Caenorhabditis elegans: one gene and its partners. The protein of the gene in region 4 interacts with the protein of the main gene of each other region in a pairwise test. Each region holds a gene or a part of one and is shown on either strand. Other genes may lie near its edges.

Region 1 (7,316 bases), 2.0 Mb from region 4:
TTTTGAAACTTCTAGGCCACCAAGTGCTCGCACGTGGCCTAGGAAATCCAAATTTCTCAATGTGAATTTTTCTAGCTCATGTGTATTCAATTTGCGGCCTAGGATTTTCAACTAACAAAAACTGCACATTCATTACTCAATTTTGATTGAAAACCTTGCCAAAATCAATTTTCAAAAGTTCTAGGCCACCAACTGGGCTCTCGTGGCCTAGGGATTTTGCCGATCGCTTCTTTTGAACTAAATTATTTAAAAAAAAACTAATGCTAATGATCCCCACTTCTCCAAAAAAGCACCATCCTATCACTTTCACCTTTTCCATTTTTCCAGGTTCAACTGAAATCCCGTGCCGCCCGTGATGAGCCCGGAGGCGGTGCTCAAACTGCCGGTCAGAGAAGAGCCGCCGCCGAGTTGGAAAGGATCAAGAGAGATCAGTCAAGAACCGCCGATGAGGACAACACTCTAGCTCCACCTCCATCTTCTTCCCGAGCTTCTGCATCGCCACGTGGCAGTGTATCAGCTGCGTCTGACGTAGGGGCACGTGTTTTTTACTGTGCTTACCAACTAAAATGTTGTTTTTCTAGAAAACAAAAACACGTTGACTTTTAACCAATTAGTAAGAAAATTAACAATTTTTGTGGGCCGTGGCCGAGTTTCCAGCAATAAGAATTGGGAACTTACAAATTAAATTTTAATTAAAACAAGCTTTGAAAAATTTCAGTTTAGTGTTTTACTTTAATTTTATTAAAAAAATGTCAAGCAACGTTTTTTTCTAATTTTCAAAAAATAACTATAAAATATGTTTTTCAAAAATAGAAATAAAATTCGAAAAACCAATTTTCCAAATTCATTAACATCAACTGAAATCTTTAAACGCCACGGCCTAGAAATCGAATTCTAGGCCATGAAAAGCCCCACCGTAGCCTAGGATTTTCCCACTACTAAAATGTACATTCTAATATGTTGTTATTGTTTTTGTGTTTTATAATAATATTCGTTTTTCTTCCAAAAATTGGACCGACATATTAAAAATTCAAATTTTTTATTTTCTAGGCCACCAGTAATACTATCGTGACCTAGATTTTGAGAATTTAATTTTTATCCAATTTTGCCCTTTTTATTTTCTAACGAAAAATTAATTATTCAAAAAGTTTTCTTATCCAAAAACGGGTGGCCTAACTTTTCTAAAGGCCCCAGAAAGCCAGGCAACTCCAAAATCCCTTTTTTGTTTCAAAATTTACAAAGGTGTTATAGTGAAAATTCTTGTATAATTTAAAAATTAATTTAAATAAAAAATTTCCAGCACGTGCCTCAGAACATGGATGAGCTTTTGGAAGATCTGATGAAAATGAAAGCTGTGCTTCGGCAACACGAACGTCGCATTCGGATGCTCGAAGAGGAGATTGCTGATCGTAATATGAGCAATGCTTATTCTTTTTGAACATGTTTAATTTTTTGAAAGAAAACTTTTTTTTCGAAAAAAAAAATTTCAAAAAAAATATCGATAATTTTTTATTTGTTTGTTTGTAAAAAGTGTGTTGTATTGTATTGCAACCTAATAAATGGTAACTTTTTCATTTCTCTTTTTTTTATTTTTCATCTATCACTTCCCGGGATTCCGGTTTCTCCCCCTCCCCACAGTGTCCCGAGGAGGCTACGCCGCCTCCACACTTTCGATTCCGACACCCGATTCAGGCGCGAATTTCCCTTATCTTTTCTTCTCGCTTATCAACTACACAAATCCACAATCATCTCAGTCTGATATAATCCTTATAAACTTTCCAAAAATATGGTCCCTCGTTTTCTAGTATTCTCAGTTTTGGCTTCACTTGCAACTGGACCACCGACTGCTGACGCTTTCTTGGCTTCGGCGTTCTCGTCGGTATCTCAGGCGGGAAAAACAGCAAATTGTCATGATTGGAGTGAATATGGACCTTGTTTCAGGTGATTTTTAGGAGAAAAACCAACATTTTTGGTGGGGAGGGTCGTGGGCTCCCATGCAGTTTTAAAAAATTCGCTTGTCCAAAGCTTTTTTTCCCGTATATTTAAGAAACTCTAAACTATCAACAAAATCTATTACATAAGGCGGCAATCATGACGTAACAGCTGAAAAATCGGTGGCCGAATTTTCTCTATGACGGTCCCGTTTTGTTTGTAAATTCCTATTTTTCAAAATTGCTACAAAATTTTTTTTTCAATTTCCAAAATCAATTTTTGAAAACTTTTCTTCTTTAAAGATATTGATATCACGTTTTTCTTATCATTTGACCTTATCATTAAAATATCACCTGAATCTTTAACATAGGTCGACGCTTACCACGGGGTCGCGGGCAGAGAAAACTCGGTCAAGCTCAAGAAATTTGAAAATCATAGCAATTAAACCGTCCATGTAAAAAATAATCAATGAAACCAAGATGTTGGAAATTGTTTTTTTTTCATTTAAAAATCTTCCCTCGTACATAAATCAACACCCACAATGTCAACACATTTTAATGGCCTAGTTTTCCACTGCTCTTCCATTTTCAGCACTGCAGACCGATCATTCTGGCGTACGCTTCCCCAGCAATGCTACCAAAACCGTTACATGTCCCTCATCACAGGAATCGGTAACCCAATCGTTCAGAAAGTGATGGACTACGCGGAGCTCTTCAACAAATCGGCGACGGCATGCGGAATGTGCAATGTTCAAGTCGCGTGTTCACCCAGATGTGATTATGTAGCTGGGTAAGGGTGACAATTGCAACACGCACAACAATAAACAATTCATATTTAGAGGCAATTCAATCGGTGTTGTCGACCGGATTTGTGATCTTCCAACCGAGAAACAGGCGTGCGCAATGACTCCACAGGCATTTGACGAGGACACTGGACTTTGTAGAGTATGGCCACCGAGGTGAACTTTTCATTTTTTTGGTTTTTTGGTTTTTTGAATGTGGAGTAGCCAGGCCAGTGGGGGAAAATATAAAAATCGCAAAAACTTCAAAGTTTTTTGAATAACTTTTATTGACAGTCAAAAAGTGACATCTACTAAGTTTTTTCCACTTTTTGAGAAAATTAATATTTGGAGTATAAGTGAACCATATAATCGAAGGAACACTTTTTTATCGAAGACTTCCAAAAAAGTGGCAAAAACTGAGGTGTTTCACAATTTTCAAAAAATTATATAAAATTTATAACTTTTTTCGAGTTTATCTTAATAAAACACTCCGAAAAATTTTAGTCATACAAAAGGGCAAAGTTGGCAAAGTAGGTAAAGTGCCAAAATTTCAAAAAATTTGACTTTTTGAGAACGTTCGACCAGTCACGCAGATTTGAACCCCTACAATGTTTATTTACAAATTTTTTAAACAATTTTAAAACTAGAGAGTTGTAGAAAAAATACCATTTTTTGATCGAGTTCCAAAATTGCCAAATTGCCATTTTTTGACTGCGTTAAAAATATTTCCAAAATTGTTTACTATCGTATTTAGCCTTTTTAGATCTTAAAAAAGCCATTGGAAATTTTTTTGATCTTTAAATCTTTAAATTTTCCTTTCTTTCTAATTAAAATTTCGAAAATATAGATACCTAGGTTGAAATGGATTTTTTAATAGTCGAGAATTTAGCTGAAATTGTTGTATTCTTTTTAAAGTAAAAAACTTCGCTATTGTTCAATTAAAAAAATACCAAAAAAGTGTGTCAAGACAATTTTTATAATGGTGGACGAGAAAAAACTGAACCCCTAAAATTAATTTTTTTTAAATTCCAGACATACTACAGCCGTGGATTTCCTTGGTGCAATTGTCCCACCAACAATTCGAGATCAAGTATGGTCCTTAAAACCGCTAAGCTGCATCAGTATAAGCGGAAAATGTTATTGTTGCTGTGCTCCGTATACTCCAAATCCATGTGATGCTCAATGCACACTTCATCCATGTTCCCGGCGGCAAACATTTTCAAAGACTCAAGTCAAGATTTTGAGGCGAAAATGGCTTCAGAAACAAGAGGAGCGACGTGAGGAAGAGGAAGAGTGATTTAATTTAAATGAAAAAATCAATAATAAATTTTGAAAATTCATTTAATAAAAACCTTAATAAAAGTCTAAAAACAATTTGAAAATTTTTCTTCGTTTCCATCAAACAATAGCACATTCTTTGTGTAGATTGATGCGACTCGCTTGAGCTTTTCCAGGAATTCTTCTGAAAATTTTTTAAAGTTTTAAGGTACTTTCCAGAATATATTTTCTGAATTTGGAAAATATAGAAAACTCACTTTAAAAGAATCTGGTAATTTTAAATGGGTCAAGGCTGAATCTGAGAATCCTAGGCCACCATAGAACGAGTGGTGGCCTAGAATTTTTCAGATCTAAGAATTTGGTAATTTCTTAGACCTCGGCGTTGTTCAGTGTCACAAGTGTTTTCAGGAAATTTGCAAAATTACGTATTTTCCTGGGAATAAAAAAAATTACAGCAGATTCCTGGAGTGAGTCAAAAACCCTAGGCCACGGTAGTACGCGAGGTGGCCTAGCATTTTCAGTAAGTTTTCAATAAGTTTTATTCAAAACACATCGAATAAAACTTATTGAAGTTTATTTACGATTGGAAAAACACTAAACACACTATTCGAAAATGTTAGGCCATGGTTTACATAGTTTCAATTTGATTGAAAATTTTTATTTCGGCCGGCCACTTTTTGTTTACCTTGAGTTTGAGTTTCGCGAGGCTCATTACTCAATTCCTTTGGATTTTCCACGATTTCTTCCTCCAGAAAATTCGCATTCTCAAATGGATCAGATTCCTCAACTCCTTCCTGCTTCTAAAACCATTATCAGTTATAGTTTATAGTTTGTAGTCTACAATCATTACCTCATCATCATTATCATCTCTCAAATCAATCACGACGACCGCGCGGCCGTCATCTACATTACAAAAATTGGCGAGTGCGGCGAGAAGGCAACCGAGTTCCGGGCAGTCCTGCGGGATGCTCATTGAGCAGAAAATCGCTGCGACTTCAGAGCCGATGCTTGCTTTGAGCGCTATGTCGATACATCCTTGCAGAAGCTTCTTGGAACTGTAACCAAAGCGAATTCTTCGCAGAGCGCCAGCTTTCATCGAGAACTCCACGTCGATTTCAGGGATTCTGAAAATGAAATTTGAAGTTTCCCTATCACCGAAAAACGAATTGTTTCAGTCAAGTTTTGAGTCACTACCCGCTATGGAGATCAATTCTGTATAATTTAAAAAATCAAGTGGCCGAGTTTTTCCCCATTTCGCGACCACATATTATCATATATGTTACGAACCACGTGGTATTAGGCTGTCCCATTACGGATTGATCTACAAAAAATGCGGGATTTTTTCCTAAAAATGTGACGTCATCACACTCTTAACCATGCGAATTCAGTTGAGAAGTCTGCGTCTAAGCTCCCGCGATTCTCGTAGATCAAACCTACATGGGACATCCTGACACCACGTGACAAACCTCTCCAACGCTTTCCGTCTCGCCCAGAAAATCGTATCATCCGGATTCTGGTCCGCCCAGCGGATTGCCTTGGCAAATAGGTGATCATCGATTTTCGGGGAATCAGTAAAAACTACCGTTAGGGAATTGCACGATTCTGACATTCTGGAATTGATCTACTCTGAGTGTGGCCTAGAATTTCACAAATATGTACACGTAAAAATTACGGCAACTGAATTTGATATAACAAAATGTTAGTTCTCCAAATAAATATATTCATCTTCAGAAAAAAAAAAACGTTATACATCAACATGAATATTCCAAAGATCATGAAGAGTGAATCCGTTACGAATCGGTTCAATCGCCAATCCCAACTCGGGGTTGAGCACCGGTAGCTGCTTCTCGTCAGTCGCGGTGTGCTCCCCGTCAAAGTATGAAGCAAACGCGTCGGGACGGATTTTATCGTCGATTTCTACGTCATCTTCGTTGTTGTCTATGATGTCGATTTCATCGTCGTCCTTGCGGGGCTCTACTTTCTGTAAATGTTTGGTTTTATTTGAACGTTGCAAAATTTTCTAATTTTGCTGAATCATAGGTCAACTTTTGCTGAGTGATCACTTTTATAAGGTGTGGGAGCGAAATTTTGAAAAGGGTCGAAAAAATTGAGCATTGTGGTTTTTGAGGCAACATCCAAAGTTCAGGGAAAGTTCCGCTCACGGCAGTTCAAGTAAGTAGGGTACTGTAGTTTAGGGTAGGATCCTACGTATTGTAGAAACTATAAATTATATAGCCTATAGGACGAGTTCCAAAAAGCCTTTATTTGAAAAATCTGAAGATGATTCTTCATTGAATCATGTAGTAAGGTGCACTAAAACAACATAATGCTAGGAAAGTCGGTGACGTTTTTCATTTTAAAAATACCTCGGCAATCTCCTTGACATACGAAACTCCAAAGATTGGCTTCAACAAATGCGCCTTATGAAGTGATTGTACAGTTTTCAGAAGATTTTGTAGACGTTCAGCAGGATCAACTCTGAATCCCAACACGTACTCTCCGCTGCTGGTAGTTGTCTCAAGAACCAGCGCCATTCCAAACTTGGACTCTCTAACTCTGACTGAATATAGAGTAATGTAGGGGACCGAAACATTGTATCCGATGTTCATCTCTGCGTACCAAACGACACGAATATTCGTGATCACAAAGACTCCGAGACTTCCAGTCTCCGTCGACAGATTCCAGACACCGTTCACCTTCTCGATGATCGTCTCTTGTGGAAGGATCTTCAGAGTTCCGTCCTCACGAATAAACACCCCGCGCATTTTGAGCTCTCTGTACATTTTGGTGGTCTCGTAGGCTCTGCTGATTGATGAGATCGTATTGAAAAGTTTCGAATGAGATGCAGGATTTGTGGTGGTGAAGATGAACTCAAATTTTGTAGTGGTCGCCGAGACTTTGGCAAGTACGTAGATTGCTTCATTGGATATACCACGGTTTCTTGTGACTAGCTGAAACTTTTTTCTTGGAAGTTAAAAAAAGATTATGAGTTTTGATAGGTGGCCGCGAAAAGTAAAACTAGGCCATCGATTTTTCGTTGCGAATTCGACAGTAGAACCCACCGAAGTAGTCTGTTTGCTCTGTACTCCGGTGATCGCATTCCACCCAATCGTGATATTGATCCGAGGCATTGAGGCGGCATGCCAGATTAGGCGTAAGTTGGTGACTCGCATCGTTCCTGAAAGTGTGTCAATTTTTCAAAAAAAAAATCGCGCTTCTTTCAATTTTTCTCTAGTCTAGAGTTTGTAAAGTATGGGCGACCCTAAAAAGAAACGATGCAAATCTGCAAATCGGCAATTGCCGAAAAATTGCCGGAATTGAGGGA
Region 2 (8,552 bases), on a different chromosome or scaffold from region 4:
CACGACATCGAAGAGGTTTAATCATGGTTGTCCACTCAATATGAGTAGGATGATGAGTTGCGGTGAGATACTGTATATCACAATGAACAGAGGGAGCTGGCACACAATATTTGATCAGAAGTCTCCGAATTTTGCTTTCGATTTCTGGGAAATCGTAACGAGAGACTGGATCATGTCCACCATCCGTTGGGTCGGGAGCTCCATGGAGATTGTTTATATTTGAATGTGGATCCTTGATTTGATCAATTAATTTTTGGAACCCGGGAATACATTTGCGTGGAATCTCATTGATATGCCATTGAACAAGTCGTCGAAGATCAAAATCACTCATTGAATTGATTGCGTCGGCTATGGTTTCCCTGAAAAATGAAATTAGAATCTTTTGAGATTTGTACGTGCTTACTTGAATTTTATATTGCTCCTTTCGTAAATTCGATAGATGGACAATGCCACCACATGTTTGCACCAACTAGAACGATTCGAGCATTCACAGGTGCATTCGACAATCCGACATCTGTCTACTTTCACTGTTACATGGAAAGATGAATTATCATCATATTGAATTGGACGGGTATCTGGATGCGTTGAGTTACTGATGTTACCACTGAGTAGAAAACCAGTTTGTGAGACATCTCGAACATTTCCCCATTCATATATGGTTTTTCCAAGTTCATATTGCTCAGATGACCCGTTGGCAAGAGTACTGAAAAATAAGAATTTAAATATTTTGTCAAAAAGGAAGCAAATAACTAACCTATACATTCGAATTTCATCAGTAGATTGTGGGAAACAATGAACTATAAATGAAAGAAAAATCTTCTCAGGAATAGTGGAGATTGGTGGAGGCATTGCAAGTTTCTCTGCTCTCGAAGTACATATATGAGAGTACATTTCTTCAAGTTGCTGAAACGACCATTTTTCCGCACAAACTCTTGCAGAAATTTCCGATAATGTGAGCAGAGTTCCAATTGAATCATCTCCTCTTGACATCATTGGATGTTGACTCAATGGATTGTTTGGATCCCCGGGTACCACTGTTCTTGTTGATGCTGAGGAAAACCGTCCTGATGCACTGTAATGCTGGTAAACAACACAAGAAAGTCCAGGTTGGATTGCTTCACAATTTGATTGACAATCTGTCCATCCTCTCCAATTCTGACTATTTCCATCAAGTGATTCGTCTAGTGAAACTTGTGAGTCCTCCTCAAATCTCTCAGAATCCTAAAAGATATTTATTTTAATTATCATAATATTCAATATTAATCAAACCTCAAATGAGACATCATCGCGGCCGTTCCATACATTGTTGCCCACTGCATTTGGCAGCATACCACCAACGTTTGCAGGTGTGAAGTGGACTCACGAGTAGAACACGAAAGTCTGGAAAAAAATAAATGTTTATTTGAGGGATTCATAGAAATCTAAGAGATTTATTAGGAAACAACAAACACCCAAGAAGCTGTTTATTTTTAAAGATACACCTTCAGTTTTCAACTTACAAGGAAAGTATTTCAACGTATTAATGGACTTTGAAATGAAGCATATTTCATTTGAAAGAACATTTTCCAAAAAAAAGTCACTACGAAAAGTTTAGCTGCTTGCGGACACTTTGAATCAAAAAAAAGTAGATCTAAAGTTCCCTTCAGGCCATTTTCTCACAAAAATCAATGATTCATAAAATGACTCAGAAGAGTTTTTTTCAGGTCTTATCTTTTTTTTAATAAGCGTTATAAACATGGTAACATTTTAAGACGTTTTCAAAATAAAAATTTTGAAAAAAAAAATTTCAAACTTTCTGGTCAAAGTAATGTTAAAATTTTCAATTCGAAAATTTATTCGAAATTTTTTTGGAATTTTTTTTGAATCACTGGCACATAAATTAAGATGATTGAATTGACTATTTGCATAGTTGGGTATAAAATTACAATCAGTCAGTTCTGTCTCATAAATTGAAAAGTTTGAGGACAAAGAAAGAATCCTATTGAAAGAGGTGATATTGCCCAGTAAATACATAATTTGGTCAAAATATTTGTACATAACCATGTAAATGACCTATTAAAACATCTCCATTCCAGTAATTCAAAAAAAAATCCAAAAAAATTTAGAAACATAATACAGGAAATAGAAGGAGTTCAAAAAGATTTTCTGAACTTTTCAGAAAGTAGGCTAAAATACGGAATTGGATCATTAGAAGAAAAGACAAAAAGTTTGAAAGGAAACTAATTGGTGGAGAAATTAATATTAATCAAAAACATTTTTTCAAATTCACAACTTCTGATCGCACTAGTAACCGGCTCACTTATAGATGGAAAACCTCTAGATCTAAACTTCGATCCCAATTGTTCACTCATCATGTGTTGAGTTTAATTTTAAGCCCAAATGAAATCAATTACCCTAGTTAGTTACAATTCTCATGCAAAGATTTTATTAACAAATTTCACTTCTTTATGTAGTTTATCAGTAGATACACATGTGTTTCGCGGTTTTTTAAATATTTATGGAATGTAGTTGAGGCATCAGCAATATGATGAAGCAAATATTTTGCACTAAAAGTCGCAATTAGCAATATATTGCTAGAATGTTGGTGGTCCCGCAGCGAGATTAGCGATTTGCAAATTGCATCTAAAATACTGGTGGCCATAAGTATTTTATAACGGCGAATCACCTGTGTCATAGCCTTTCTAAATTATTTGCACTTTCATCATAATTTTTTTTCTTGCGATTCTCTCCATTTTCCGTTCAATGAACGATTTAATACGCATGTTCAATAATAATAAAATTTATCCGAGAGGAGTACAGAAGAAAATTAACATCGCTGCGAGACCAATCGCTACAGTACTCAATGTCGATTTACGGAGGAAACATGTTTTGATTTCTCATTGTTTCTTTTGTCATTTTTTGTCATTTTAGTTTTAAAACTTAATTATCCTCTAATGATTTGCGCGGTTTTTTATTAAATTTTTGATTATTCTCGTAGCTTTTGAGTTAAACTAATTAAAAGTCTTCAGCTATGCTAAATTTTGCTTCCTTTTCTTGAATGAAAACCTAAAATGAACAAAATTTTTTGTCATTAAATAACAACGCTTCGGTTAACGCTTGAAATTGATATTCGGAAAATAAAAAGCCTGATTTTTGTTCGATTTCTGAAATATATTTCATGCTTTACCCGTTTTTAATTGCGAACAATTCTAAATTTGAAATATAATTTTCAATCAACGAAAAACAATTTTCAAGATAAAAAATTATTATATAAATTTAAGCTAAGTATTAATAAATTAATAAGTAATAGTATTCAAAAATCATAGAATCTTGCAAGAAAAAATGTTTTAAAGATTTAATAGTTCGAGTGATTGAAAAACGAATAGTACTTTAAAAAATAATGCTTTAAGGCAGAAAAGTGATATAAAAATTAAGCTCAAAAGGGCAAAAGATAAGGTTAATGTCCAGTTTTGGTTTTAAAATGGTTCGGACACAATGTACATAGTAGACATTTGGGTGTCCTCTTCCTTCTCTTTTCCCCATTGCGTCCACTGACCCTCCTTGCTGTATGTCTGCGCATCGTCTTTTTCTACACTTTTTCCTTTTCCCTGGCCCGTTCCTATCGGTGCCTTTCACACACGCGAGCGGCAGTGGACGAGACGGGAGGGCGAGGTGTTGAACAAGAGTACAGCAAGTGCGCGCCATCGAAAAAGCGGAAAAAAAAATTTCAAATGGCGCTACTTTGAAAATTGAGAATTCTGTATTTACTGCCAGTTTTACTTGCATTTAAATTTCCATGTTTTCTATTCTAAAACGAAAATCTATCTAAGAAAACCCTTAATAAAAACCTATAAATCATAAATTGTGATTCTTAAATTCGAAAATATGTTCGTTCAACTTGACGCCTAGAAATATGTGGACTTAATCCTGTTATAAATCAGTAGTTGACGACAAAAATAGTAGAGCAGCAAAAGCAGTTCTAACTTGTGAAAAACATGAAAGTTCTTGTTTTCGTCAAGCGAACGGGGGCTCGAGGAAGGACTTGGCACGTGTCTCTAGGCCATGTTTTTCTCAATTTTTGTTGCTCTAGAGAAAGCTTTTGCTATTGATTATGGGACAATCTTGGGGATATGAAGGTAACATTTTAAAAATAAGTTTAGGTAAATGTGTAGCATAATTTTTGAAAAAAAAAGCTCCACTGTTAAAAATGCCGATTTTAGGGATTGCGAAACGTTCACTATGTACACATAAATGGCTATATAATTTGAATTTGCATTCAATAAATCTTTTCCTTCCAATTGTATGTTTTAACTTAAAAATAATTAATTAAAATTATCTCAGGAGTCAAAAATGTCAGCTCAAGCAAGTCGTCAAAAGAAATCGGATCAAGAGCAGCGTGCAGCTGATCAAGCTTTGCTCAATGCAGCAATCGAGGATAATGCGATGGAGCAAGATGAAAACTTCACAGTTATCGATAAACTTGAGTCTTCAGGAATCAGTTCTGGCGATATTTCAAAACTAAAAGAAGCTGGATACTATACATACGAATCGCTGGCATTTACTACAAGACGCGAACTCCGAAATGTCAAAGGAATTAGTGATCAGAAAGCTGAAAAGATAATGGTGAGCATATCAAAAAATCAGCTTATTCGAGAATTAAAGAAAAAAACTAAAAATTCTGTGGCTTTATTTTTCAAAATCCAATTAATTGAATTGAAAGTATCAGAAAAGTTGATACATTTTTCGAGGTTAGCTCCGAAAAAGAATGAAACGATCAGCTGCAAGGTCAGTTTTGACGGCAAATCGACCAGCTGTGAACATGTAGACATCGGCCTCATATTTCAATGATTTAATTTCAGAAAGAAGCCATGAAATTCGTGCAGATGGGATTCACGACGGGAGCCGAGGTTCATGTGAAGCGAAGCCAGCTGGTGCAGATCAGAACTGGATCTGCTTCACTTGACAGACTGTTGGGTGGCGGTATCGAAACAGGCAGTATCACTGAGGTGAGTTTATCACGGATAAACTGACAACAGTACTCAATAAAACATTTATTTCAGGTTTACGGAGAATATAGAACAGGAAAAACTCAGCTTTGCCACAGTCTGGCAGTCTTGTGTCAATTGCCGATTGATATGGGAGGTGGTGAGGGAAAATGTATGTATATTGATACCAATGCCACTTTTCGACCCGAACGAATTATTGCTATCGCTCAGAGGTTTGTGATTGAGAATTATTCTTAAAAATCCTGAATTTGTCATAATTTGATCTCCCGACTTGAAAATTTAAAAAAAAATTAAAATTTATTTCGAGAAATCAGTAACATATTTTCTCAGTCTGAAAATAGCTGTTATTTTTGCTTGAACAATTGAAAAGGCCAAAAATGGTCTGCAAGTTGGAAATTGCCGTAAATGAACTTTCAGAGATGTTCCGGGTCTTTTTTTGGCGAATTTCAACTTGCAGGCAATTTTTTAGCCTTTTCCTTATTGTTTCAACAAATATAAGTTTTTTTTTTCAGATAAAGTAAATATTTCTCTATATTCTATCACTAAGTTTGAAATAAAAACGTTTGGAGAACAAGTCGCAATGGCTCATTTTGTACAATTACTGGTTTACGCCACATGGCTTGAATTTTGGCATTTGAGAATTTACCTTATTATGGATCTTGTAGCATTTTTTTGAATATCGAAGTAATTTCTTGCAGATACAATATGGACAGTGCTCATGTACTCGAGAATATCGCTGTTGCACGTGCATACAACTCAGAACATTTGATGGCTTTGATTATTCGAGCAGGTAAATCTAAATTTCAAAAAATAAAAAAATAAACTTTTTCGTGCCATAGGAGCAATGATGTCCGAGAGTCGTTATGCTGTTGTGATTGTTGACTGTGCAACTGCTCATTTCCGTAACGAATACACTGGAAGAGGAGATCTAGCGGAACGTCAGATGAAGCTCTCTGCTTTTCTGAAATGCCTTGCCAAGCTTGCCGATGAATATGGTGTCGCTGTAATTATTACCAATCAAGTTGTAGCACAAGTCGACGGAGGAGCCTCGATGTTCCAGGCTGATGCTAAAAAGCCCATTGGAGGTCACATCATCGCTCACATGTCTACTACCAGGTAAACATAGTTGGAGGTTTTCTGAAGATTTTGAACAAATAGAGAACATATTTAATTTTTTTATTAAACATTACATGTGGTCTTTTTGAGGATTTTTTAAAGAAGAAAAATTAAGTTATTCATATTTTCAGATTGTACCTTCGAAAAGGAAAAGGAGAGAATCGCGTCGCAAAAATGGTTCAATCACCCAATTTACCAGAAGCCGAAGCGACCTACTCAATCACGAATCATGGTATTGAGGACGCACGCGAGGACTAGCCGTTCGTTTTTCTTTTTCTTATCAAACTTCATCATTCATATCCCGATAAATATATCACATTTCTGTTTCTCTCCACACTTTCACGGATTCATCATGTTTATTTGGGTCGTTTTTAAATCTAGCGTTCTATGTTCTCTATGAAAAGTTTTCGCCTGCCCCTCATGTTTCACTATTCCGTTACATTCCTTTTTTGTATCTGTATTATATATAGGTTTGTGCATCTCTCTCTCTCTCTTTTGTTTTACCCGTCGTTTTGTATGAATCGTATAGTTGAACTGATTATGTCAGTATTGATAAGCTAATGTTCTTTTTAATTTATAAAGGTTTTCGAAACCTTTAATACTGTATTTTAAAAATGCGTGTTCATCATGTTAACCTAGCAATAATTCCAGATCCAACTAACTGAAATGGACATTGAAGCGGCCAAGAATGAGGTAAGATGATTATCTCTAATTTGCCTATTCGCAAAATGTGGAGTGGAATTTTTGCTTTGTAAAATTCCGGCAACAACAAAAAACCTTGAAAATTGCCTGAAAATACCCAACTGTCCGTACTTATGCTCTCAAAAGCGATTCTTATTATGCAATACCGACGGTCACAGCACATTTGCTGAACAGCTGTGTGACCCTTGCCTGTTGTCATCGTCTCATTCAAATTACTCAACATGATCTTGCCCTCTTTTGATCTTTACTATTCTTATTTAGGTTTTGAAATTTATTGTTAATATTTGTACGTCAGAGATGACTAATTGGCTCCTGATAAGAAAGTTCACTTATTTATGATATACTAGTTTATTTTTAACTGTATATCGTGTTGAGCCAAAAATTTATTTTCTGATTCTACATTTTCCGCTTTAGTATGGTAGATCGAGACATTTTATATGTTTTCCTTTTGCTCTTTCACTGCTCGAAATATATTTTGTGCAATGCCAGACTTCTAAAATCATCTATTCATTTTTTATCATGCAAAATTAAGAATACAGAACGAACAACAATTTCACTTATTTTTGTTCTATATCTCCCCGCCCTTCGTCCCTCCATTTTCTCCGTTCGTTCCGTTCGGACACCAACTTCTATATTCATCTGCAATGGCAAAAGGCGGTCGTAGACGGCGACCGGTTCCGCAACGCTCATCTCAAAACGCGGAAAAGCTGACTGCAATCCTTTTTCTGTAGCAGGCCATTTTGATGCTTGCTTCTCCCGGGGCCCCCAGTTCTTCCACACTCTGCATACATTTTCGTCTCAATCGGCGCTAGCCAATGATCTAGTAAAAACAAGATGGTTAACTTGTTCTATGCGTTGTTTATGTGATGCCGCATTTAGCTATATATTTTTAGAATCATGAGTGTTTCTTAAACAATAGTTTTTCTAAACTTGTGTTTTCAGATGACTTGCTGCTCGTCCAATTCATCTCTATCAGATTTCAACACTTTGCCCAGATGCCCGAATCGTGTTGGCTCTATCACTGTTATTCTGGGGCCAATGTTCAGTGGCAAAACGTGTGTTTATTTTTAAATTTAGAGTGATCATAACAATATTATTTTCAGCACCGAACTTCTTCGTCTTCATGATCGTCAGATAATTGCAAAAAGAACATGTGTTCTTGTCAAGTATGCAGGAGACACTCGTTACGATGCCGATCTCGTGGCTACTCATAGCAAGTTGGTAGATCAAGCCTAAAACTGTAAAGCATTGAATATCATTTCAGGATGACTGGCCAGGGACGGACTGTCAAGGCTCATCGTCTCTCTGAAGTTCAATCTCAGATCTTCAACGATGAGGTTCAAGTCGTTTCGATTGACGAGGGACAGTTCTTTGAAGATCTCGCCGAAACTTGCGAAGAACTTGCTCAAAGAGGGAAAGTTGTTTGTGTCGCTGCACTCAATGGAACATTCGAGAGAAAGCCGTTCCCACAAATTTCTTTGCTACTTCCGTACGCGAATGAAATCAAGCAAGTTACCGCTGTATGTGTCGAATGCGGATCGCAAGCAAACTTCTCATTCCGCAGCACATTGGACAAAAAGGTTGAGGTGATCGGAGGTTCGGACACTTATACAGCTCTCTGCAGAGAATGTTATGTTCAAAAGAGCGAAGAAAAAGATGCTGAAGAACAGATGAAAACTGGTTGTGATAAGGTATAAAAACTCAATTCGATTTAATAGTTATTAGTTTGATTTTTCAGAACGAAAACGA
Region 3 (7,277 bases), 1.6 Mb from region 4:
ATTGAGCGCAGACATTTTCGAATATAATTTCTGAACGCTACTATTATTCCCACAATAAAAACCAATCAATAAATCATTCAGGCCTTCTCGTCCTGCCCACACACGTCCGCCATTTGGTGCAGCAACTCGAAACACATTGTGGTCGTAGTTACGTGAAAACTGAACCCTGATCGATATCAGTTTTCTCTCCAAATATTTGGTTTTCTTTTTTCAGTTTATTTTTTTTTTAGATTCCCATTTTGTTATCCATTTTCAGTACAGATATATATCTGCAGATACCACACATTCTCTCTTTTTTGTCATTTTTCTTCACCGAATATCTGGTTTTCTTCAATTTCCCATTTCATCTTTCCCGCTGAGAATTGTTTTTTAAAGTTTTCAATTCCCACCAACATTTGTTATAATTATTTTCTCCACATTGTTTCTCTTTCTTCTCATCATTATCATAACTTTTCTAATTGTATTAATTTTGGCTTAATTTTCCATTTTCCTCTCCCTTTCTTCCATTTCCCAATTTTCTGGTTTACAGGAATTTTTAAAACAATTCTTTGACAAGTTTTATTTCGGAACAGGCCTCCCCATTTTTCCTTTGGAGTTCACTAGCTTTAACACATGTTTTCTCTTACAATTCAATACATTTTTCATCTTTTTCCTCAATTTTTGGCCGGTCGATCCTTCCCATCAATTTCACCAGGTTTCAAGGTCAATTTTGATAAGAACATAAACTCAAAACTGCCAACCATTTATCAGTTTGACCTGGAAAATTTGATGGGAAAATGGAAAAAAAATAAATCGTCCAAAAATTGAATTTTTCTCGAGGTCTACCTGGATCTTTTTTTTTCTTTTTTTCCCTTTCGATACATTTGTGTTATTTGAGACGTGTAATAAAATGAATTGTTGATGAATTTAACGAATTGTTTGGAATTGTCGAGATTTATCAATTTCAATCATACTTTTTTTCTAGATAGTTTGATAAAATTGCAATTCCGTATAACGAAGATAATATAGAGAAAAAAACAAAATTAATTGTTTTTTTTTTCAAAATTTCTGATTGACCAGACTCGAAATTTTGCAATTTTGAGCAAAAAATGCAGTACTCGGTCTTGACACGACAATTTCTCTTTTATGCGAGAAGATATGTGCCTTTAAAGAGTACTGTAATTTCAAACTCGTTTCTGCCGATTTTTCATAGTAACACATTATTTTTGGCTAGAGAATCACAAAAAAAAAGAAAATTGCAAAAAGACTTAAAATTTTAGATGTCTTCTTGGTGTTCATCAGAAGATGCTCATAATCAATCTTCAACTCCTTCCACACGTTCCCGTAAATCATCTTGGCTTATTTCAAAAATTGATGAAAATGAGATTGATAAAGAAGTTCAAGAGATGATGGATGATTGGAGACGCAGCAATGAAGCAGAAAACCACGTGGAATGCATAAAAGCTGCATTGGAGTACTGTAGAGATAAACTAAAGGAACTGCTCATAGATGAAGAAGATACAGAAATGGATGGGAAAGAGACAAAGACGAAACCTAGTTGGTGTTTCCTATTTTTATGTAAAAAATGTGCAATATTACAGTCAACATTGTCTCTAACACAGAGTTCCCGGAGGATCGTGATGTTCTTGGAAATCTTGTGAATTGTCTTGATAGGCAACAAAAAGCAGCTCGACAACAAATGTATTTCGACAAAATTGTACAATTGGGACTGGAGAGGCAGGCTTTGCAGGTATGAAGACAGTGAATATGGTTTAAAGGCAAAATTTTGTTATTTTATACGGTACCCGGTCTGGAGAAATTGTTTTTTTTGCACATGCAGAAAGGTGTGCGCCTTTAAAGAGTACTGTAGGTTAAAAATTTTGTCTGCACAATTTTCATCGATATTGTATTCGAAAAAAAATCACTCATAAATTTAGCAATTCGTAAGAAAAAATTTTGCAGCAACGAAAGTTTGAAACTACAGTAATCTTTAAAGGCGCACGCATTTTCGAATTTAATACAGTTTGTCGTGTCGAGACCGGGCACTGTGTTTTTGCCGCAAAATTTTGCGTCAGGGGCCAAGTGCATCAAAAACTCCATGAATAGTACATAAATTAATTTATTTCGACGCTGTATGGTTTTTATATTTTCCAATTTAGAGTGAAAGTTTTCAGGATGAAGCTGTTGTTTCAACGTCATCTCCATTAGACGAGTGCCGTGCTGAAGGACATGAATTTGTAATGCAACCAGTTAGAGGTGGACATAATCCATGTTGTGAAGTTTGTATGCACACAATTTGGAGGCTCGTGCAATGGTGGAGGCGATGCAGAGGTATTGATAGACTTTAACTTCGTTCGAAGTAAAAAAAATATTTTGCCAAAATCACGAAAAAATCGAAACATTTCAATCCTGAATTACAGTAATCTTTTACAGTTTGTGGAATGCGTGCTCATGACAAATGCGCGGAAGAGGTGAAACGAGTGTGTGCCGGAGTTCTGTCAACTCGAGCAAAATTCGAATTAAACACAAATTTGTGTGAGGAACGAAGCCTCGCGGAGCAGGAATATCAATGTGCTGAATGTACTGCACCGATTTGCTTTGATGGAGTTGCTGAACAAGAAGCACGTCTTTGTGATTACAGTGGAGAGCTTTTTTGCCCAAATTGTCACTGGAATGATGTTTGGAGCATTCCTGCCAGGTAAGATCTCAGCTTTAAGAACACCTAAATTATTAAATTTCTTTAGAATAGTCCACAATCTCGACTCAACACCACGACCTGTCTGCCGAGCCGTCAAGCAATTACTTGCAATCATAGACCACCGACCGTTAATCGATATAAACGAGTCAACACTTTCGCTCATAAAATTTCATAAGGTAAAAAAGATTCTGGAGGTATGGGGAATTGAACCCCAACCCTCTCCCACAGGTGATTCGCAGTGTAAGCAAAATGCTTCGACGCACACAATGCTCGTGTTTGCGAAAATGTCTTGAGGTGGCTTAATCATGTCTTCGGGTAGTGGGGGTGGCTTATACAAGAACTGAAGTTATATTTTGAACTTTTTCAGCTGATATAAGTGAAAAAAAAGAAGCATAAATTGTTTTCGCAATGCCTCCTTTATGCTCGCGTTCGTTCGCAAAGACGAGCATTTTTCTCCATTTTTGCTCATGTTTTCAAGTACCCATTCGAAGCACGCGCGAACCTCGGATGAAGCATAAAACTCGTACTCGCGAATCACCTGTGTCCCATGCTAAGGGAGCGCTCTACCACTGAGCTATACCCCCGAACGGCGCCATGACGCGAAGTTGCAGTTAAAACATTGGCTGTGCCAAGTGACAGATATTTGCCCACAGCAAATAAAATTGAAGAAATATACATTTTCAACTGACAGTTTTCAGGAACTACGCCGAGTAAACGAACTGCGTCGAAACTTTCTTCTGATGAAGTGTTACTTTGTTAGTTGCCGTACGGCAAGACGTCTCCGAATCCTACAGTACCTCAATGCTCACTCACATTTTGTCGATAACTCTGTCATGTATTCACCGAAAGAACTCCGTGAGCTGTGCGATGGCACGTTGTTACCCGATTTGGAACAGATCCATACAGTTTTTAGAAAGCATATTGAAGAGGTGTTTGGTTTTTGGAGATTATTATTGAAATTTTAATTTTAAAAATTAAGGAATGTGAGACTTGTGCTGGAAATGGATTCTTCTGCGAACTTTGCGACGACATCAACGTAGATCAGAAAAATAAAATCCTATATCCATTTACTGAAAATACACGGTCATGTGCCACGTGTCTTGCAGTCTACCATAAGAAATGCTTCGAAAGGAAAAGTTTAAATTGTCCAAGGTACAGTAATCCACAGTAGACCAGTTTTGAATTTGGTATATTTGCAGATGTGAACGACGTCGAAAACGAACTGAGATCCCGAAAACATTGAGTTCAAGTGATGAGAAGGAAGCAGTGAGAAATTAATTTCAAAAAATTCCATTTAAAAACCACATTCCCCTACTATTGTAATAATTGAGTGCCTTAAATATTGTCTAATACTGTAAAATAAAATAAAATATTTTTATTGTTAACTTGAACATTTGTGTTTGGACTTTTTTCCTAAAGATAAACAGACAACATTCAAAATTAGAATAAATTGTTTATGACTTTCAATTACAAGTGCCATTACCCTAATCATCAAGATATTTAACCCATTCGGAAATCGTTGCATTAATGGGAAGAGGTTCTGGGACAAGTCCGTGATAAGCATCCAGTGGCAAATCGAGAACGATATGGGCGGCATGAACTGCACTACCGTATCCAAGTGTGAATCCGTTTCCACTATGACCGTAGTTATGGACGACCTGGAAGGAATATCAGAATTTTAGATGCATCAAAATCTTCATTACCGTAAACTTCTTGGATCCGTTGGTCTCTCGAATCTGCTTCTCGACACGAACTTGCTTGCGACCTGGACGATATCCAACGAATGATGAAAGCATGTGAACACGCTGGAATTATTTTCTAGCTTCTAATTTGTAATATTTAACCCACCTTGAAAGATGGTTGCAATGCCACATAACGGCTAGTGATATCCTGGATATCTGCAGATGTCACATTGTTTGGCCCAAATGCTCCTTCTTGTTTCACAGTTCCCATGTAGACATGGTCGATACTGAAAGATCTTAAAAATTTGAAAAACAATAAGAAAAGCAAAGCTTACACCGGAATTGTAATTGTAGAAAAGTCTCTGTAGAGGAAATGTTTCTGCCATGGTGCATCAACTCGGATGAGCACTCCACGAATTGGCTTCATGTTCCCTGCATCATCACCTGCTAGAACTCCACCAAGAAGTCCAGCTGAATTAACAACAACATCAAATTCTGCACCAAGTTCCTCTAAGTTTCCAATTCTCCGTTGAGTGAATCGAACTCCTTTTGTCATTAATTCTTTTTTCAAAAATGGGCAAAAGCGAAGACCTTCAGACGTGTAAGCAGTGTAATGAATTCCACGAGTTGTCGTGTTTCTTGGTAGATCAAAAAGCGACGTTGGACCGAAAAGCTCCGGCTCGGCGAGATCCCGGTAGTTGTACACGAGGCTTCCATACGATTCACGTTGTGAATCCAACTTTGTCTTGGAATCTGATAATATGTGCCCAGAGACTAGTTGTACACCACTTAGACCACCGTATTCTCTCCAGAGAGTTGCCAACTTTTCAAATGTATCGTAACCATATTTTCTATCGATCTCTGATCCACTATCGATTCGGAAGAGACCAGCGATGTGGCGACTGAGAATTTTTTCAAAAGGTTTGTGATGGAAAATGTGGATTTCCTGAAACACAACTTTGAACACCTGTGACTTTCAAATTTAACTTACTGGAGCGGGAATGTTCCTCTTTTCTGCCAAATCAAGAATTGCTGTAGCTGTGCTCAAACCAATGACGCCTTCTCCAACAACAGCAACTCGTAACGAGCTCACTGAAAATAAAAGGATAACTGAAAAAGTCTGAACATTATCAAACCTGTTGAAACTCCTCCAAAGAGGAGAAGAAGAGCATACAGCATACCACCTGCGATTAAATATGTATGTATAAAGATAAAAATGATCAAATTGTATTGAAAAAAAGAAAGAGGAGGAGCTGTGGAAATCCGTGGGATAGGAATGCACTTAGATTTCAGTTTTAAATCAAAAAGTAACGGAATCTGATCATGAGGAGCACAAAAAGCACATTTTTACGAAAATTTGATCTTTTGAAATCTGTTGGCTAAACTTTCAAGTTCTGTAGGGGAAAGCAAAATGTTCAGTGAATCTAGGGAAACGTATGAAAAAGTGTTCCCTTTTCGTTTCTTTGTCATCACCATTTAATCGAATTAGAGTAGATGGACTTTGGGAGTGTCAAAATCGGAATTTATTGAAAAAACATGAAACACATGAGGTCATGAGGTTGCCTTTTAGAAGGAAAAGATTAAGATAATTTCATAAGCACAAAATAAAGACAAAGCGAACTCTGAGTATTCAAGTTTTTAACGGCTAACTCAAAAAATCACGGAAAAATTTTTTTTTAAATTTTCGATTTTTTCAAATCTTAATACTACGCAGATGACCAAAGTAGATGAACTTCATATGCTTTCATATGCTCACTGCCTACTATAACTCACATATATAAAATTTACAAAAAATCGTAAAATGGCAACATACGTCAATAATTATTTGCCGACCTAATATAAGATGCTTCAATAAATGCAACACATATGTAGAGCCGTTTAATTATGTAGGCACTGCAAAATGTATTATTTTTATGCTAGAGAGCATATCAAATAAAATCACGACTTTTGGTTTCATTACCTCTTTCTGGTGTTCGGAACTTCATAATTGGTATGACCTCGGCAAAATGCCTCAACTATTGAGGGGGGGGGGGGGCTACTTTAGTGACTTTTGCTATGTGCTATGCCAATCAATTTAAGTTGGATAAATTAGGTAAATCATTGCTAGTTGGTGGGAAGTTGGTGAATTGCCGAGACGTTTCGGAGATCTGCCACAAACTAAATAAGGCGTTAGCTGCTGCTTGATTTCGCAGGAACTCTTGTGAACTTCTTTCATGACATGATTCTTCATTACTTCCTTTTCAATATACACTGTCAATTTCAATTTTGGTAAAAATTATTTCTTAAAAAATTCAATTCTAAATGAATGCATACGATCAAATTAATATTTCAAATTTTCTAGAAAGATCATCATTTTAAAATTGAAAATGGAAATGATTATCATTTCCAACTGCAAAATTTGAATCACTAGGTTTTCCTTCTTTTTTCGGAACGATTTTTCAAATTGCTCAGTAGCACCAGCTAAAACTACTTTCAGTTGGATATTGTTTGGGAGATATACAAATGAATTTATTGATTAACCCGTCATTATGTAGATTCAAAAAGATTTCGCTGATTCAATATTACAAATGTCGACATTGATGTGCCTATGAGAAACACCACAAGCAGGAAGCGATCGAGCACCATTGCAACCTAAAAATTATATTTTATAAATCATATATAGTTGACAAATGCAAGAATCGGAAAGTTTGAGTATCTTTTTTTAATACGAAAATCTAAACTGTTATGTATTTATTTTGAAGCTTTTCCAATCGTAAAACACGCCTCAACTATAAAAAATGTACCTGTTGCCATTCGAGAGCAATTGCATCTCGTTTATCCTTTTCAGCAACTCTCATTTCATTTCTTTCAATAATTCCGTGAACCATTGACATAACCCTCAAGAACTCTTTTTCAAATTCATCGACCATTGGCTGTTG
Region 4 (7,961 bases):
TCGTACTGATCATAGTTCTAGTTTCACTAGAAATTGGATGTGGAGTGGCTGTTCTTGTAAGAAGAAATTCATTGCATGATAATACAAACAGTTTGATTGATGCTATGTATACTACAAACTCAGTCAATGATTTGAAGATTATTCAGGATAAGGTGGGCTCTGAAAAATTAGGAATTTTTAATAATGCATTAATTTTCAGTACAACTGTTGCGGTATCGAGAACTCACTATTCAACGTTATGTATTGCGGTCCAATGTCCCAAAAGGTATTGAATTTTCATAAACTTAATATTTCAATTTTTTCAGCCTCATTGTGATGTGGCAGTGTTTGATAGTGTGGATAACACTATGATGATATCTGGAATCATACTTCTTGTTATTCTGATCCTTCAAACTATTGCTATCATTCTTCCAGTTCCCATATTGATTTCAAGGAAGAAAACCTACAAGTACAGTTACGAGCCAAGAGTAACCCAACTTGCGGACATCACCGAAGACACTCGTTTTTAAAGACGAACTACAGTACCCTTGTCATTCATTTGTTCTGAATCATTCCACACGTTGTAATGTGTCCTGATTACATGTCAATTTCATTACTGTAATTATAGTCTTGTTGTTATCTACGGGTTAATCATTGAGTAAACATTTCTTATCTTATTTCGTAACATCATTTTTTTATAACTCCACCCCGTATTTTACGGTCAAAATGATATAACTGACGAGTTTTGTATACCTTTTGATAATATTAAAACATCTCGGAAGAATTTAGATCGGAATGACGTCAAGGATTGCCTTTATTTCAAGGATCACAATATTCTGTTTGAGTCTTGCAATGCTGGTGGGTTACTGTACTTTCTCACTTTTTTGAAAGTCTTTCTGATTTTAATTTGTTTCTATGTGACGACTAGAGCTCTATTTAATTTTCAGTTTTGCTCAATCGGACTAGATATCTGGGGTTCTCTGATGGAGGATAAATCGTATGAACGTGATCTCAAAGATGTAGTTTTCAATTACAATTCATCTCAACCTTTGGCAGATGATAAATTCGACATGAGATCTTGGGTCAGTTATCACAGATAAAACATTTACAAACAAAGCCAGCTTTTCAGATTTATTCAGTCTACTGGAGCATTTACGGGCTTTGCATTATAGCCGGTCCCCTGTCCATAATTGGATTAATTGGAGCAATTAGCCAAAAGAAGCCTGTACTAGCCACATGTCTAGTTCTAATAGTCATATTCTTTATAATGGAGCTCGGTGGAAGTATTGCTCTTTGGTCGAAGCGTGGAAGTCTTCGGAGTCTTCTTTATCGTTTTGCAAATGATATTTATTTGACAAACTCTGTTTTTGATATTTCCATAATTCAAAACACGGTAGGCCAGTAGATAACTCATTATCCACTGAAATCGAAAACATTTTCAGTATAATTGCTGTGGAGTTCAAGATGGGCAATGGAAATGTCCAAATGCTCCTTCATGTGATATTGCTCTATTCAATAGTGTTGATAATACAATGATGATTTCTGGAATTATCTTGATTCCCGTACTGTTACTTCAAATTGTCATCATTGGTGCTGCCGTCTTGGTTTTAGTATTTGAACCCAGAAATGTGCTGAGGAAGATAGAAGCACAACATGAGAATCCTGCATGGGAATCTTCGGAATAAAAAATTCTCATTAATGGCCCTGTACGTAGCAGTATTAAAAAATGTTTTGGATAAAAACAGATAATACACAAAAATCAGCAACTTTCACGTTTATTCAATGCAGATAGTCCATGGGAACAAAAGAGATCACTTCTTGTCAAAAACACTGTCTTGAACCATATTCAAAATTTGATAATTTTGATCGTACGAATCAGCTACAGCTTTCTTGTTTTCTGGAGCTTTGATACAGAATCCATTTCTCACCTGGAAAAATAATCAAGATATGAGCAGTCCTGTAGATTATCTTGCTGTTATCCTGAAATCTAAATAACTAGAATCATTACCTCGTAAGCTTCAATACCGAGTTGTCCGATTGAAGCGAGAACATGAACCAACACGAACAACGAGAAGAATGCATGACCTGATACGCACAGGAACACAAAAACTGCAGCAAGAGCTGGAATCCCGACAAGAGCAGCTGCTTTTCCACGAGTCTCATTGTCTCCGGATCCGGTGATCTTTTTAATTTCATCACGACCATCGATGTTCTGTTGAAGATTGAAACCAGAAACTGCAGCAGAAGCACCAAGGAACACGAGATAGAAGAGTTTTGCAAGAACATTACTATCTCCAAGTGAACCTAAGAGCACCATCATAAGCTGAAAATGTTTTCTTTGGAATTAAATATAAGTAAACCACAAACCTCAAAAGATGAGCATGCAAGAACGGCACATCTGGTTCCAAACACGTACTTGTAGTACTCGTAAGGTGGGATTTGTTCCATATACGACATTGATGGAGAGAATTTGAGATGCTAATGGAGGATCGATTTACGAATAATAAAACAATTTGAATCCTATGGTTAAATACGCTTACAAATGACCCTAAGGTTTTTTGTGCCACGGTGAAAAAGGAAAAGGTCAAGTGTATTTTAAATTGTAAATAAAAGTTCATCCTTTTGATATTTGTATTAATTTGGAATTTAAAAAATATGAACTCGAAAAGTGTTTGTTTCTTTGGTTTCTTATTAATCAAAAATCCCAACTTTCTCTAACACTTGTTTGTATATTTGTGTTGTCATAAGTGAAAGAAAATTCAACTTTTCAGAATAGTCTCTAGACTATAGTCTTTGAAATGTGATTTACCAAAAACCCTTGGTTCGTGAAATGTTTGCCACATAAACTGAAATTTGAAAAACTGAGAACCTGTCCTCTGAATTATGTGTTTACGCGTTGACCTTGAAAAGAAAAGAAGGCGTCCGGGATTATGTGCTGTGTTCAGAAAAACCAAATGCCAAAAAGTATTTATTTAAATAAATGTTTTCAAAAACTTCGATCACTACAGTATCTTTGGCAGAGAAATGTCGGATGAAACCGAGAGAAAACAATCTTCCAAAAATCCGGTGATTTGACCATAAACTCCGCCTACTTTCACTTGTTTGGCCTTGTTAAAAAGCGTCGCAAACCGAACAATTTCTGATATCAAATACGAGAAATTTTCGTCTCGGTTTGATTGGTTTCGATCCAGTATTTTATATCTCCGAGAAATGAAGGTATGTTTTAATTTGTTTCGATTGAGAATTGAGATGTTGCAAAGAGATTGTTTTAGACCTATTATTATTAAATTTCGATGAGTTTGAGAAATTTTTAGTTTTGGCCCTCAAAACACGGTGGAGGGTCTCGACACGACTAATTTTTGTTTATTGCGAAAAAGTGTGTTCCTTATAAGATTACTGTAATCTCAAACTCTCGCTGCTGCAGAATTTGAATGGGGGTTCCATGGCTTTTCGCACAATTTTTACAAAATTGGTGTGCTTTTTATTGTCATATTTGAGTCTCTGACCTAATTAATGTGTTTCCGCTGCAACGGAAGTTACAATTACAGTACTCTTCAAAGACGCGTACTTTCTTGCATTTCAACAAAATTAAGTAGTAACGAGACCGGATACCGTACTTTTGAGGGAATAATCGTAGAATTTCGCGTTTTGGTAAATAATAGCATTCATTCAGTATATCACTGCATCCATACTTCTGTCTTCATTTCTCTTAACATCTTGTACTTTGGAGCATATGTTCGAAGATGATATTAGTGACACATTTGTACCAAAAGTAAGAGGAGATGGAGATGTTATTATTTTGGATCTTTCAAATATCGATCATGCAAATGGAGCTGAAATTCCACGAAACTTGACTGAAGAGGATACGAAAATTATTCCAACCCATATTGATTTTGCAGCTCTGAAGTAGGTCGTATTCTGGAAAAGTGTTTGGAGCAATAAAAAATATTCCAGTGGTTATTTTCAGAGAAGCGTATGCAAAGGAAAACAAAGCTGAACGATTTTTACCGTCCCGTTTGTTTTTTGGAGATGATGATACTGATAAGAAGTGACACATTTTAAATAACCCATTTATGAACTTAAAATTGTATTATCCATGTAGAACATCGCATTCGGAAGTGAATAATAAAAAACATAAAGCTGATGAAAAATACGCGGTTAAACATCAATGAATGAGGAGAAAATAAATATGCAATTTTAAAGTGTATTATCTTGAACCGTTTTGATGAGCTCTTCCTTTGAATGCATTTGTAAAATGACAATACCATTAAAACCGTGTGAATATTCGGCATGAACTTTGCGACTGGTCATTCCTTGAATGTATTTTCTGAAAATAAGATTTAAAATTCAACTGTTCCGATTACTGAAGAAACTTGCATTGCTACTTTTTCATCAATAGTGAGAGCAAAGCTGACCGGCGCTTTCAGATGATGAAGAATGTTTTGGACATTAAAAATCCAATAAGGAGAGTAGCCGTCCTGAAATTATGCTAATATTGTGAAATGTTTAAAAATAGTATATCTACAGTTATCTGAATAATTTGTTACCTACCGTTCTCGGTTCGTGCTCTTGAAGCTCAATCTTTTCCAACCAATCCAAAAAAGCTTCTTTCACAAGATTATAAGCAATCAATCGGGATCCCAATCTGCACGGCAAGTGCCCAACCTGAGAAAATAAAAATCTAATTAAACAATATTTAATAATTTAGGAACCATTTCGTATGGTGTAACTTCTTGCGGAAGAGTTGTGTTGAGATCTACTTGGAGGCGACATACTGCAGCCTGAGAAGCACCACTGAGATTCTCGTAGCCACGTGTCATTCCGATGTAATGTGGTGGATCGATTTGATAATGCGGAAAACGAATTGAAAGCTCTTCCAGCCAATTCGAGAACTCTTTCCTATTCATCTCAAATTTATGATCGCCATGTCGAAACTCGCCAGGCTCCATTCCAAATACTGCATTATATTCATGATTTGGCGTAGAAAAAATGAAAATGCGTGGCATCAAAGTCCCCAGAACATTTTCGACAAATTTTTTCGCATTTGGAAGAGGGATGTGTTCAACGCTGAAATAATTTACGTATTATCGATTGGTGGAAAATTTTTAAATTCTCACACTTCCATTGAGACGATCGCATCAACATCGGCAAAGCGATGATCTGGTTCAAGAATATCTCCGACATATGATCGCATCAGCACTGGAAGTCCTGTTTCCACAGCTAAGATCTCTGCATTACGTTCCAAATGTTTTCTTAAAAAAATAGATTCAGCTTTACTTCAAAAGTAATATATTTATGGGAAATCTAAAATGAGATGTAGCTCAACTCACCCCAGCAACTGTTGTCCAATAGACAACGAAGGCTCATCAATATCGACAGAAAGAACATTGATAGTTCCAAAAGATCCAAGATATTCACATATTCCTTTCTCCAACGACATTTCTCCACATCCCATCACAGCAAGTCGGCTGATATCAATTTGAGAAGATCTTTTGAATTCCATCAGAGTATTCTTAACGAATGAGTTTCTTTGAACTTGAAGTGGTGGTTGAAAAAAGTTCTTTCTCTGCTCATGATCATCAGTATCCGATTCATCCGTTGCGATATTATAAATGGAATCTCTCCATTCTTCATCGTTATTTTTCTTATTTTTTCTATCATTTGGATCCTGATGGTTTTTGAACTTTGGACGAAACTCTTCAACATTTGCCGTTTCAAGAATACGATCAAGTGGCTCCAAAAGTGCAATTTCCAGTTGTTCGTAAGCTTCGACGTAGGTTTGCTTAAAATTTGGAAACTACGTCGGTAATATTGGAATAATGTATTGGGATTTTTTTTGGTAAAATCTAAACTTATGCTTTTTTTTCAAACTTAAAACAAAAAATTTCTGGTCCGAATATGTTTTTCTGTGACGAAATATTTGCAAATCATGTTTAACTTTTTACTTTTTCTTCTATCAATTGACGTACATTATCATATGGAGCTCCCCATCCATCGCTGGTGTGCGCCATTTCTAATCTGGAATATTATTTCAATGAATAATCCAGATTTGAAGAAATAAAAAGTGTAGAAAATAACAAGAACTGACGCGTTGATGAATTTGTAAAGAGGGCAAGTATTTTATTCTTGACAGAAAAAGAAAATAATTTCGAATTGAAAAAAAATGTACAGTCATGAGAAAAGCAGACGCCGAAGAAAAACAAAACGTATTCATAAAATTCTATGGAGCGTGTTTACACCGATTTCCCTTTGGAAACAATTTCAACAAATTTACCAGTAGCTACAGTAGGATCAGGATAGAAACGAAGGAATACAAAAAATAGCGGGCAATAGATGAAGAATTTCCAAGAAACAATATAAATCTACTGAATAGTTAAGCTTCAAAATTTCAGAACATTTTTAATTGAATACCAAAGTTGTGCCTCAACCCGGTGAGCGCACGGTGCCCTGTTGATGTCAGACTTCGTCAATTTCGTCAGTTTGTACCAGTTTTCTGTAGATCGCGTAGAACAGGGCACATAGATGCAGTCATAAGATAACACAGCATCTACATATACCTGAAAAATAAATAATTGAGCAATAGATGAATGAATTGAAATCTAATAAGTAGTATTAAGTCTAGAGATTCACGCAATTTTGTTAGATTCGTGTGTCAACCAGCCACACCATGCCTTCAGTTTGTTTCTTTTTACATACCTTTTGAGACCGGGTGTGCCTGATTGTATTCGATAAATTGAAAGAGATGTGTGCAAGTTGAAAGTGTTTGTGTGAAGAGAGAAAAATGGATAATTACCATGCGAATATTATATATATATTCGCGGGCTCTTTTTTAAAACAACATACCACCGCGGTTTACGACCTGATCCGTTGGTGGAGTGACCGGTGCAAAATAGGCATGAATTTCGATGTTTGGGCGATGATGCTGAAATAGGAGAACATGTAATAAATACGGTAACCGGTCTCGGCACGACAATTTTTTGCTATGTGCAAAAAGTGTGCGCCTTTGTACTGTCGTTTAATTTTTTTTGTTATATTTAAGTTTTAAAAATAAATTATTTTATTTTCGTCGAGAAACTATGAAAAACCACGAAAATTCCGCAGAAACGAACGTTTGAAATTACAGTACTCTTTAAAGGCGCACACCTCTTTGCATTTAACAAAAAATTGTCGTGTCGAGACCGGGTACTGTATTTTTTGCCCGAAAATTGCAAATTTTTTCTGGGTAATATTAAAAAAAAAATAGATTTCAGAGATGTTTTTGATTTTTTAATAAAATCGTATTTAAGTTTGTAATATGAAATATAACATACCTGAAATCGAACGATTGCTTCTTTTGAAACATTTTGGCAATCATACAAATCAATTCTCTTGAGAGCTTTGCAATGTCTCAGATGAGATAACGTGGAATCAGTTAACTGCGGGCAATTGTCAAGTTCCAGAACATTCAACGTTTCACGGTGTTTCGAGGCTAAATTCTGAATCGACTCGTCCGTAATAAGTTCGCAATGTGAAAGACTGAGCTCACGAAGAGCCGTACAGTTGTTTGCAAGTGAGTTGATAGTGTGATCAGAAATTAGGGAACAATCTTCCATATCAAGTCGTTCCAATTGACGACATCCTCTGGCAAGTGGAATAAATCCATTATCTCCGAGAAGTGTGCATCCAGATAATTCCAGTACTTTCAAATTATGAGAATGTTGTCCAAGAGATACCAATGATCTATCAGATATTTGATTGCAATTTGACATGCACAGATATTCCAAAGCGGTAGCTCCATTTGCAATATTTTGAACTGTAATATCGGTGAGCTGCTGAAAACAGTAATTATCGAAAATTGTTTCATTTAAAATGTTTGCTTACGAAGCATTGCAGAAGATTCAGTTTCTTGATAGCTCCCATGTGAGCTTCGACAGATCCGAACACATTCTCAGTAAGTCCTTCACAACCACGAAGGATCAGAGTATCGAGTGACTTGCAATTTG

What was found.
Region 1: the proteins of henn-1 (region 4) and rip-1 interact in a two-hybrid assay, tested with the Caenorhabditis elegans proteins (one large-scale study listed by BioGRID).
Region 2: the proteins of henn-1 (region 4) and rad-51 interact in a two-hybrid assay, tested with the Caenorhabditis elegans proteins (one large-scale study listed by BioGRID).
Region 3: the proteins of henn-1 (region 4) and ddo-3 interact in a two-hybrid assay, tested with the Caenorhabditis elegans proteins (one large-scale study listed by BioGRID).

Annotation. Positions count from the first base shown.
Region 1 is NC_003281.10:10,253,137-10,260,452, forward strand, and holds rip-1 (RFS-1 Interacting Partner), read right to left. Parts: upstream 5,606-7,316; 5' UTR 5,601-5,605; coding exon 5,458-5,600; intron 5,116-5,457; coding exon 4,842-5,115; intron 4,792-4,841; coding exon 4,677-4,791; intron 4,176-4,676; coding exon 4,078-4,175; 3' UTR 4,037-4,077; downstream 1-4,036. Other genes in the region: Coronin-like protein cor-1, read left to right, coding at 328-534, 1,301-1,438; R01H10.4 (uncharacterized protein), read left to right, coding at 1,787-1,941, 2,524-2,721, 2,771-2,890, 3,746-4,010; BBSome complex member bbs-5, read right to left, coding at 5,736-5,972, 6,358-6,942, 7,054-7,169.
Region 2 is NC_003282.8:10,279,783-10,288,334, reverse strand, and holds rad-51 (DNA repair protein RAD51 homolog), read left to right. Parts: upstream 1-4,090; coding exon 4,091-4,115; intron 4,116-4,199; coding exon 4,200-4,279; intron 4,280-4,320; coding exon 4,321-4,602; intron 4,603-4,838; coding exon 4,839-4,985; intron 4,986-5,039; coding exon 5,040-5,197; intron 5,198-5,683; coding exon 5,684-5,775; intron 5,776-5,824; coding exon 5,825-6,101; intron 6,102-6,232; coding exon 6,233-6,359; 3' UTR 6,360-6,701; downstream 6,702-8,552. Other genes in the region: ebax-1 (SWIM-type domain-containing protein), read right to left, coding at 1-359, 404-703, 755-1,221, 1,270-1,329; thk-1 (Thymidine kinase), read left to right, coding at 6,768-6,794, 7,746-7,858, 7,907-8,020, 8,068-8,494, 8,542-8,552.
Region 3 is NC_003281.10:6,586,158-6,593,434, reverse strand, and holds ddo-3 (D-aspartate oxidase 3), read right to left. Parts: upstream 5,572-7,277; 5' UTR 5,539-5,571; coding exon 5,496-5,538; intron 5,452-5,495; coding exon 5,351-5,451; intron 5,306-5,350; coding exon 4,695-5,305; intron 4,647-4,694; coding exon 4,526-4,646; intron 4,483-4,525; coding exon 4,381-4,482; intron 4,336-4,380; coding exon 4,162-4,335; 3' UTR 4,037-4,161; downstream 1-4,036. Other genes in the region: let-765 (Protein strawberry notch homolog), read left to right, coding at 82-170; F20H11.1 (Differentially expressed in FDCP 8 homolog), read left to right, coding at 1,260-1,536, 1,581-1,729, 2,154-2,310, 2,413-2,677, 2,724-2,853, 3,376-3,606, 3,657-3,829, 3,877-3,955; acr-21 (AcetylCholine Receptor), read right to left, coding at 6,886-6,990, 7,143-7,277. UniProt on the Caenorhabditis elegans protein: Selectively catalyzes the oxidative deamination of acidic amino acids. Plays a role in the egg-laying events and maturation processes of the reproductive organs.
Region 4 is NC_003281.10:8,230,687-8,238,647, reverse strand, and holds henn-1 (Small RNA 2'-O-methyltransferase), read right to left. Parts: upstream 5,998-7,961; 5' UTR 5,991-5,997; coding exon 5,949-5,990; intron 5,762-5,948; coding exon 5,310-5,761; intron 5,232-5,309; coding exon 5,097-5,231; intron 5,047-5,096; coding exon 4,692-5,046; intron 4,645-4,691; coding exon 4,531-4,644; intron 4,458-4,530; coding exon 4,357-4,457; exon of another isoform or gene 4,307-4,356; coding exon 4,177-4,306; 3' UTR 4,037-4,176; downstream 1-4,036. Other genes in the region: tsp-1 (Tetraspanin-1), read left to right, coding at 1-152, 200-265, 306-509; tsp-2 (TetraSPanin family), read left to right, coding at 775-837, 927-1,061, 1,109-1,372, 1,422-1,664; C02F5.5 (uncharacterized protein), read right to left, coding at 1,791-1,907, 1,988-2,302, 2,347-2,436; C02F5.14 (MBL fold metallo-hydrolase), read left to right, coding at 3,190-3,195, 3,653-3,885, 3,947-4,031; F-box/LRR-repeat protein fbxl-1, read right to left, coding at 6,508-6,536, 6,823-6,901, 7,290-7,790, 7,840-7,961. UniProt on the Caenorhabditis elegans protein: Methyltransferase that adds a 2'-O-methyl group at the 3'-end of PIWI-interacting RNAs (piRNAs) and small interfering RNAs (siRNAs) which are classes of regulatory RNAs that are involved in gene silencing in endogenous RNA interference (RNAi) pathways.